2 linked regions of the Caenorhabditis elegans genome follow. The protein of the gene in region 1 purifies or fractionates together with the protein of each later gene. This does not show direct contact. Each region holds a gene or a part of one and is shown on either strand. Other genes may lie near its edges.

Region 1 (6,338 bases):
GGGGGAATTGGGTGGGATGAAGAAAGAACCTACAAATGCACTAAAAGAGTTTATACATTGGGTGGCCATAAAGAACATCTAAATAAATATAGGCAGACTGGGGGGGGGGGGTTATTGTAAGTGACAAAGTATTGCTATAGAAGAGTAGGAAAAATGTAAAGTTTCAAATCATAGAAAAAATAAAATCAATAAATTATTGAACAAAGTGAGTTTATAAAACATGCAAATAAAATTATTGGGAGGTGGGGGAAAAAAAGAGAAATAGGACTCGATTGGTTGTGGAAAATTCGCCGCTGACAAAGAAAAACACAGTTGGAACGGGAGAGAGAATGGAGAGGTGGATGAATTGACGCCTAGTTAGCGCTGGGACCAATGCAATCCTCAACGAGACTTGCTCAAAAGGTGGAAGAACTCGGGATATTGATTAATTTAAAAATTCTCAAAAAAAAAAAAGAAATGCTTGATAAAACGGGGGCATTGTACAATTACTATGGGAACGGTAATAGTATGACAAGTGAGCTAGGATGGAGATGTAAAAGCATTTAGAAAGGTCTCTTGGGGACTTGCGGGCGAGCTGGAATCTCTGGTGCTCCGTTGGATGGTGTCGGTACTCTTCTGAAAAAAAAAACAACGTTTCAGATTAATACTACAACAACAGAAAGCTAGACCACCATTGAAACATGCAAATAATGACGAAATTATGAAAAATTTGATGAGAAAGAAAAGTTAGCTTTTGCTTCTTTCTGTAGAAAAAATCACAGGAAGATAGTGGAATATAAAAATGTTCCGATAAAGTGCCAAGGGATCACAACACTAGATAGATGCTGCTAATACACATCACGATTACAACAAACAATTATACACTTCTCTGTACTGCTTCTTCGCGATTAACAAACCTTTGGTCAGTGGGGGAATTATTCACAACATTATTATCTAGGCGGTGCCATGTTGGGTGGTGGGCCGCCTGGTCCCGGACGCCTAGAGTGGTTGGTACACGTTAGTTTTAGGTTTTATTCTGACTTGTTGACAGTATTTTTTTTTCTAAATTTCAGAAAAAAAATTTTGACAGAAGAAAGAGTATGACGGACCAAAATAGGAAAGATTAGAAGAGATCTGGTGCTCTTTTCGAAAAAAAATAGGCATAAACTTACGTTGGAATCAACGGTGGGTACATGCCACCGCCGCCTCCTGGCGCACCTGGTGGTGGTCTCATGCCTGGTGGTGGTGGGGCACCGGGTCCTCCGCGTGGTGGCATTGGGGCCTGACGTCCGCCTGGTGGAGCAGGAGCCGGACGCGGCACCGGTGAAGGTCCAGATGGGTGTGGGCGGTAGTCAGACATCGGCAATGGCGGCGGCTGGTCGCCAAGGGTGCTCATGTTGACTTCAGAGATAATGCGGAGCGCCTCCTTGCAAGCATGGTACATTCGGAGCATCTCCTCGCGCTTCTGGGCTTCTATTTGAGATTCCTCCATGAGAGCATCAGTGTCGCCGCATTGGTAGAGATGGGCCAAAAGTTCATCTTTCATGAACTCACCTGTCTGAAATTATTGAGATATTTAGTTTAAGGTTTATTGTGTACGGTTAAAAAAACAGGCCGTGATGATATCACGATGAATCATTCAATTCTTTTAAAATCCCTCACCTGGTTAACAATCAAATGCATCACCGCCTTTGGAACCAGGTCCTTAATTGTCTTGGTAATGATTCTCATGTAGGAATCAACCAAATTACGGATTGTCTCCACCTGTCTCTCAAGTTGTGGATCAATCGAGGTATCCTCCATCTCTTGTTGGGACTCATCTTCCTGTGCCTTCTGCTTTTCTGGATAGACACCAGCACGCAAGAATGAAGCCTTCCACGCATCAATTTCGTCCAAATTGGTGCATCCCAACTCAAGCTGCTTGTAATCCTTGTAGATGTTCCTGGAATTCAAAGGGTTATGGGAGAAGCAAGTGCGTGAGGTCAAGGATACATGAGTTTACATCTTCATGCTGGTTCAGAATCTTTTATCTAAAAAGCATTTTGCATGCTGTATTTTTTTTTGTCTGAACTGAAACTGTCACAGCAGAGAAAGAGAAACAGGAAAAATAAGAAATTGACTACAGAAGTGAAAGGTGTTGGTTTCAAGGTGGATAAACTTTTCGGGTAAAAAAAATGAAAACAGATCACAAGGACGACAACACAAAGGTTTTTCTGTCTTACAAGTCATTAAAGAAGAAGAAGAAGTGAAGAAAGTAAACTATACACTCACCTCCTGCAAATTAATTTAATTTAAACAAATATTCAAAAAAAATTGATTTTGTGTGTGTGTGCGTTTTTTGTCTCGTTTCAAAACTCATGCTCAATTTAGTGTTCCTGTGTTTCTGCCTAATGAAACTCTAATGTGGAAAGAAAAGCGTGCGGGCTCTTGGAATGTTGAAATGGCAATCAAATCGCAAAATTCTTGAGTAACTCACTTTCCGTCGGGGTAGAACAGAGCAAACTTGTGGTTACGAGACATAAATCCACCCTCAATATCCTTCAGCTTGACACCATCCAATGGGAGCATGTACTTCTTCTCCTTCTCCTCATCATCTTTGTACCAACTCAAACTGTCCGACATGAGCACAAACCAATTGTCCTTGGAGCCACGCACAAACGATACGTTGCTCAGTGAGAGCCAGCCCTTTCTGATCACCTGGTTTCCAAGATTCTTCTTCGCTGATTGTCCTTGGGAGGCTTTTGCTTCAGCACTAAAAAAATAAAATTAAACATCTAAAAGCAAAGTCTAAACTCCTACTTGCTGAATCCAATGAAATCCTCATGGTTTGTGTTCATATAAGCGAGTTCGTAGTCAACAATGAGCCCAATTTGCTGCTTGGCAATTTGCTCACGTTCACGCATATGCGAGACGACGATTCTTTCCAGCTCGTCACGAAGACGTGGATATCTAGCCATAGTGTCAGCGCACTGTCTGATCACATTAGCCAACTCGTTGACCACCAGATCAACGCATTTCAACGATGGCTCCTTCAGACGGGTGATTTGCTTTTTGGCAATTGCCTCAAACGCCATATCCGGAGTGAAGAGACCGACGCGGATACCGTGAATGTTTCTGATGGCATACTGGATTTCTTTGCGCATTTCTTTCTCGTCAATTTCCATTTTAACAATCTCAAATGGGAAACGCTCATGGAAAAGCCGATTGATACGGGCTCCTCCACTGAGCTCATTGGTTGAAACCAGCTTTGCAGAGGAACCTTCAATGGAGCGCTCAATGTCAGCATTGAACTGGGTAACCATTCTGCAAAAATTTTGTTAATAAAGCACCTCCATTGAAATCACTTACTGCAAAAGAGCCTTGGTCTTGCGGCCTGGATCATTTGGCTGGTAGTTCTTGTACTCGGCCACATCCTTTTCCATAGCAAACATCTTCTTTTGAAGACTATCACGAAGTGTTGGCAGTGTATCACGGATATGATTGGTGAGCTGTTGATTAAGAGTGTGTTGAAGGTAGCTTGTTCCCAACCGATCAGCCATATGTCGGTAGGATGGGTGTGAGATGAAGAACTTTCTCTCGGCGTCCAAAGCAGCTCTAATATCCTTGCGACCGACAATATCCTTCTGCCCACGATTGACAACTCCGACGTAGCCACGACGAAGTGTGAACAGCTTGTTCTCGAGGATCTCGCGAGCATCGGTTCCCTCGTCCATCAAGTCAAGTTTGGTGAGGACTCCAATCGTGCGAAGACCCTGTGGATCGACTTCCTTCGCAAGTTTCAACGCATCCGAAGTGGCGAGATCGCTGTTGGCCGGAGTGACGGCAAGAATGAGGCAAGTCTCACGGTTGATGAATGTGAGAATCATGTCACGGATCTGTTGCTCAATATCTGCTGGTTGATCTCCGACGGGCACTTTTGTGAGACCGGGCAAATCGATGAGTGTCAGATTTAGAACTGAAAAATTAAGTATGAATTAATTAAAATGTGTGAATTTTTCCAGTGATTTTGTGCAACTCACTGTAAATTTATGAAATCTTTAATGCAATTTAAATTTTAAAAAAAGTTGCATAAGTCTGGTTTCAGATGCTCAAATCATCCAGCGCACTTGCGTTTCTGTGAGTTTCTAAATGCTTACCATTTGGAGAAAAGACACGCAAGTTGATTGGATGTGGACTGATTCCCTTATTCTGTCCAGTGACACGATCAGTCTCATCCTCAATCTCTTTCCGAACTGCATCAAAATCCACAAAGCGATGACCCTTCTTGTGTAGGAACTCGGCGTACTCATTGCGATCTTGAATAAGCTGCAAAATAAGTGGACGACGTGTTACGATTCCTGATCCACGTGGCAAGAAGTCTCTGGAAAGGAAAAAAATTGTGATTTTATTTCGCAAAGTTATGTTTTTTTTCTTCTTGTGACTCACTTTCCGACAAAATTCTCCAGCACCGACGACTTTCCAGCGGACTGTCCTCCGACGACGGCGATCTGTGGAAGTTCGAAGCTGACAGATGTGCCCAGCTGGGAGAAGGCGTCCTGGACACGATTGATCACAGGGATCAACGCCTGCATTCCCTGGTTTTGCCACGACATGGCTGATCCTGGTGGTTATACGCTGAACTACCTGAAAATCGATTTTTTTAGTCGATTAATGATATGAGGAAGAGCATTGAGAAGATTTAATGGAAAAAGCACGATTTCGCAATGAGGTTTTCGGAGGTTTAATAATTATGTTTTAGAATGAAATTTATCACCTTCAAGAATATAGAATATAAAATTAGAAAAAAAAATCCTCAAATCGCATTTGAAAAAACAAAATCAACAAATATTCAGAATCATTGTCGGCAAAACGGTGTTGAATGTTTGGAAAACAAGAAGAAGAAACGATCGGCGTACAAAAAAGCGCGGAGAGACTCGGAGATGCAGAGACTAAAAGTGAGGGTGAGGCAAACGAAATGACCGCAGTGAGTCAGCCTCGCAGTCAGTACTGCGGCGGGGAGAGAAAAAGGCTTGGCCAGCGACGGCGGAGAGCGTGCCAACACACACTCATCGCAAAACGCGTCAGCAGTAACCACGACAAGAAATTTCTTTTCACGAGGAATTTTATGAAGAATTTGGAGGCTTGTTTAATGAAAATATTGGAAAAAAACAGAAGGTTGTTAGATGCAAAAAAAAACTAAACGGGACACATTTGAAAAAGAAAATCCAAATAAGTAGTGGAGGAGAAATGAAAAATGAAAAAGTGGAAAACAAAGCGAACAGTTTTGGATTGCCGAAAACCAGAATTTGGCGGGTAGATCAATTCATTGTAAATGTTGTGAAATAGTGGTGTGGAGAGGGTGGCAGCCGGCCACCCTTCTGTTTGTAGTCTAACCACCTGCGTCTCTCAACTTACCTGCTATCTCGCTGGAAACGTGTGAATGGAAGTTAGTGAGCAAATAACATCGTTTCTTTAATAAAAAGAGGCAGACTTTAAAAATTTTTTTTATTGAGAATGGAAATGAGATGGATGACCTTTGGAAATTATGCAAAATAAAAATAAAATAAAATATTTCAAAATTGTGAAACTTTTACAACAGTCCGATCAGTACCGTAGGAAGAAAAGAAAAATCGTCATCTTAGCAAATATCGAGTCACAATTGTGACCAGAAATCATGATTAGTAAGAAGGTTTTTCCACGTTCTATTTGTTTATTAGAGACGAGGAAATTCATTTAGTCCAATTTGTTTAAACAAAATATGGAATTCATTATGATATTATAATTTGTAGAGAATTGTCGTATGTTCATGATTGTTAAATTGTATCACAGTTTTTCTTCTTTTTTTTTCAAGACAGGGTAGTACTGCAAATTTTTTTGGCAGATCTTTAAACCCGCCCGATTCGAAATAATCATCAAGCTCTAACACAGATAGATTGAACATATATATATGCATATCATAAATATGAAAAATATACTCATTTTCATTTAAAAAGTTGGGATTAAAAATAACGGCTTCAAATACTCCCTGAAAATTGTCACTTGCAGTAAAAACTGATGTTCGATTTTCTGACCAAAGGCGATTCTCTAGCAGGATTCAAGGTTTCTTTTCAAGTTTTATAGCAGAAACACAACATTTCAACCAGATATTACTTCAAAATTTTATTTCTGCTAATTTGGAAACTTGGATATTAATTCCGAAATTAACAGATTTGTAGGTTTCCAAACAAATTCCAGTTACTTCCTATTAGAAAATTTTACTAAGAACCAGCGGTGTGTAAACAAATAACGAATTTAACATTCCCATACTACTCCTGATAATGAATTTGTGACTAATCAGTTGATGTACAATGATTTCATATGCTCTGAAATTTATAAAACAT
Region 2 (4,023 bases), on another chromosome or scaffold:
ATTGATAATCGGGCTTCCAACATTGAATAGTATAGAATTGAAGGTCGTATTTGGTGAGGCTATGCCGTTTGAGATGTGGATCTGAAAAAAAAAACGATTTGTTTTGGCAAAAATTTCAGAAAACGGTCGAAAAACTTATAGGATTTTTTCAAATGTGCAAAAAAAATTATTATTGGAACAAAATCCATGAAATTTGCTGGAATAATGACAGAAAACAGTCTCCGAATAAAACTATATTTGCTTTTCGATTTTCAAGGCCAACTTTGATGTTTCATCGAATTTCTCTCTCGTTATCAAGTTTTTTAACAAAAAAGTCTGAAAATGTGACAACTTATATTTAAAAAATTATCAAAAAAAATTGCAAAATTGAAAAATAATTTTTTACATTGTATATTCGTTATATTTAGATTGTTTTCTATCTTTTTAGGTTGAAAAAACCCAGATATTTCCTGAAATCGGACAATTTTAACGTATTTTGTTCCAAAAATGGAGTAATTTCTCTAGGCTGGCAGATTCAATTTGGCCTTGAAAAGCCTATTTTTAAAAGGATTATTTTTTTCAAAAAATCACCTTTATACACGCCTTATCCGGTGTTTCTACTAAATTAGGTATCACTTCTTGAAACACGTTCAGCCATTCCTTCTCCGATTGCCCTGAAGTGATAATATCTACATAAACTGGCATAAATGAGGATATGGAGCATCGACTGTAATCAATGATGTCATCGAGCTGATTCGGAGAAATTTGAGATCTGAAAATTAAAATCTTGATGAAAACCTAATCTAAATTTAAAGAAAAAAGCTTACGGTTGCTCCAATTCCCGTGGAATTTGAAGCGGTGAAAATGGCAGAAATACTTTGACATTTTGCGTTTCTCGGAGCTCTTCTAACTGTCGCTGTGCAGCTTCAATTTCTCCCTCTAGAGCCGATAGTTCTAGTTCTGAAATTGGAATTTTTAAAATTCAAAATCTAAAAATCCGCATACGTTTCTGAGGAATCAATCTTTGTAGTTCTTCTTGAACAGTCCGAATTTCTTCAATTTTTACTTGAGATTCCGTCAATTCCAAACGAACTGAAGCAAGGATTCTGGAAGAAAATTATAAAAAATAGTTTAGCGTTTCTCAAAAAAAGCAACAAGATACCGTTTCTGCTCCCGTAATATTCTTCCAATAGAGTATCCACTGCATGACGCGTCATAATCGTCTAGATTTTCAATGTTTCTAAAAAAAATTTCATCGATAAATGCATTTTTTCGAGATTCTTACTGTTTGAGAGCATCTTGCGTTATCCAGGAAGGCTCGGAGAAGGAGACATTGTAGATAATTATATAAGTGATAACAAAGAAAATGAAGATTAAAAATGCAGAAACACGAAGAGATGGCACAAAACTTCGACTTGAACCTGGAAATTGAGTAAAAAAATTAATTTAAATTTACAGAATTACAGGATTACCATTTAACTTTATAGCCATTGATATTACCGGCTCGAGACTTGAATTTTTATGTTTCTGGGCATTGGATTTATTATTTTATTTGCTGCAACTAGAAAAAATTGAATTTTATGTATTTAAAAATGCTTTAGTAAAAATAAGCAGGCTTAAAAATTTAAACTTTTTGAAAACAAGCAAGTGCGCTCCATGGCACACGCGCGCGTATTGCGACGCGTGGCGCCAAAAAACCCATTCGAAAACCAATTCCGCGGCAAATGAGTCATTCTCGTCCCAAAATTTAGGCGAACACTGGTCATTTTGTCGGTTTCGCATCGTTATCATGCCGTTTTTATCACTTCACTGTTTTTGATGATTTTCGGAAATGTTTTACGTCGGGTGCAATCGATTTATTTCTTGCGTGTGCCCTCGTCCTATTTCATCATTCCTTTCCGTCGCACACCCATTATTTCCTTCATTTTTCAGAAACAACATGAGAGAAATCGTCCACGTTCAAGCCGGACAGTGCGGAAACCAGATCGGGTCCAAGTTCTGGGAAGTCATCTCCGATGAGCACGGAATCCAGCCCGACGGAACCTTCAAGGGAGAAAGCGATCTCCAGCTGGAGAGAATCGATGTCTACTACAACGAGGCCAACAGTATGTTTATCTAAGATAAAGCAGTTCTTATTTCGATCTTTTCAGATGGCAAATACGTTCCACGTGCAGTCCTCGTTGATCTCGAGCCAGGAACGATGGATTCTGTGCGGTCCGGTCCTTTCGGACAACTCTTCAGACCAGACAACTTTGTTTTCGGACAATCTGGAGCTGGAAACAATTGGGCCAAGGGACATTACACCGAGGGAGCAGAACTTGTTGACAACGTGCTCGATGTGATCCGCAAAGAGGCTGAAGGATGCGATTGTCTTCAAGGATTCCAGCTCACACACTCTCTTGGAGGTGGAACCGGATCCGGAATGGGAACCCTTCTCATCTCCAAGATTCGCGAGGAATTCCCAGATCGAATTATGTCTTCCTTCTCGGTTGTTCCATCACCAAAGGTTTCGGATACCGTCGTCGAGCCGTACAATGCCACCCTCTCTGTCCACCAGCTTGTTGAGAACACCGACGAGACTTACTGTATCGATAACGAGGCTCTCTACGATATCTGCTACAGAACTCTAAAGCTCACCAACCCAACATACGGAGACCTGAACCATCTCGTGTCTCTCACAATGTCTGGAGTGACTACCTGCCTCCGCTTCCCTGGACAGCTGAACGCTGATCTTCGCAAGTTGGCTGTCAACATGGTTCCATTCCCACGTCTTCATTTCTTCATGCCTGGATTCGCTCCACTCTCCGCCAAGGGAGCTCAGGCTTACCGTGCATTGACTGTCGCCGAGCTTACTCAACAAATGTTCGACGCCAAGAACATGATGGCTGCTTGCGATCCAAGACACGGAAGATACCTCACCGTTGCTGCTATGTTCCGTGGACGCATGTCCATGAGAGTAAGTTCATCGATTGCTTGTAACTTTTCACTATATGCTTTGTTTTTCAGGAGGTTGACGAGCAGATGCTCAGTGTCCAGAACAAGAACTCCTCGTACTTCGTTGAATGGATTCCAAACAACGTCAAGACTGCTGTGTGCGACATCCCACCACGTGGACTCAAGATGGCTGCCACCTTCGTCGGAAACTCCACTGCTATCCAGGAGCTCTTCAAGCGTATCTCGGAGCAATTCACCGCCATGTTCCGCAGAAAGGCCTTCCTTCATTGGTACACTGGTGAGGGTATGGACGAGATGGAGTTCACCGAGGCTGAAAGCAACATGAACGACTTGATCTCGGAGTACCAACAATACCAGGAAGCTACCGCCGAAGACGAGCCACTCGACGAGTTCGCCGGAGAAGGGGAGACATACGAGTCTGAGCAATAATCTGTGTATCAATCACTAAATTATCCTGCCCCGTTTCGTAATTTCCTGTACAATGATCTTTTCTTTCGCCCACTCCCAATATTTTTATGACTCGAATGAACGATGATTAATTTAAACTTTTTTCCAGTGTTCTCATTATGTTTCAATCATTAAAATATCTTGCAAAAGCTCGATAGAAGGTAGACACTGGTTCACAATTTTCATATTCAGAACAATGAAAGACACAGTCGTCAAAGGATCTCTCAAGTTGAAAAAAGTATCGACAGAAGCGCCAAAGAAGACTAAAAAGAGTAAGCCAGCTATGGACTTGAAGCAAGTTGACATGACGATCAGAAGGTATGTGTAATCCGAAACCAGACAGCTAACGGTCCCAGAGATTCCAGAAACACTTCCGGCGGTGGGCCACACAAAACCGAGGCTGAGCTTCGGTTCGAGGCTAGAAGACAGGCGAACATGGTAGGCGCTTTTTTTTTTAATACTTAAAATTCACATAATTTCAGGCGGAAAGAATGCTGAAACAGGCGGCGTTGAGTCATCGTGAAAAGGTGGAGAAGTTGAACAAGCAGCTCGGCGAGATGACAGAATTCAACGACATTCCAAAAGTTTCCTGGACGAAATAATAATAATAATCTCTCTCTCTCTCTCTCTCTCTCTCTCTCT

The links.
Region 2: the proteins of dyn-1 (region 1) and tbb-1 purify together in Caenorhabditis elegans (affinity purification with mass spectrometry, with the first as the bait; one study listed by BioGRID). This does not show direct contact.

What each region holds. Positions count from the first base shown.
Region 1 is NC_003284.9:15,567,154-15,573,491, reverse strand, and holds dyn-1 (Dynamin), read right to left. Parts: upstream 4,572-6,338; coding exon 4,405-4,571; intron 4,340-4,404; coding exon 4,116-4,339; intron 3,935-4,115; coding exon 3,328-3,934; intron 3,283-3,327; coding exon 2,779-3,282; intron 2,732-2,778; coding exon 2,456-2,731; intron 1,922-2,455; coding exon 1,642-1,921; intron 1,538-1,641; coding exon 1,152-1,537; intron 979-1,151; coding exon of another isoform or gene 930-978; exon of another isoform or gene 897-929; intron 616-896; coding exon 543-615; downstream 1-542.
Region 2 is NC_003281.10:10,740,321-10,744,343, reverse strand, and holds tbb-1 (Tubulin beta chain), read left to right. Parts: upstream 1-1,911; 5' UTR 1,912-1,918; coding exon 1,919-2,084; intron 2,085-2,129; coding exon 2,130-2,935; intron 2,936-2,985; coding exon 2,986-3,363; 3' UTR 3,364-3,476; downstream 3,477-4,023. Other genes in the region: rib-2 (Exostosin-like-3 homolog), read right to left, coding at 1-81, 571-751, 807-939, 985-1,085, 1,142-1,219, 1,265-1,400, 1,452-1,470; tass-1 (Protein FAM32A), read left to right, coding at 3,578-3,699, 3,738-3,819, 3,864-3,983.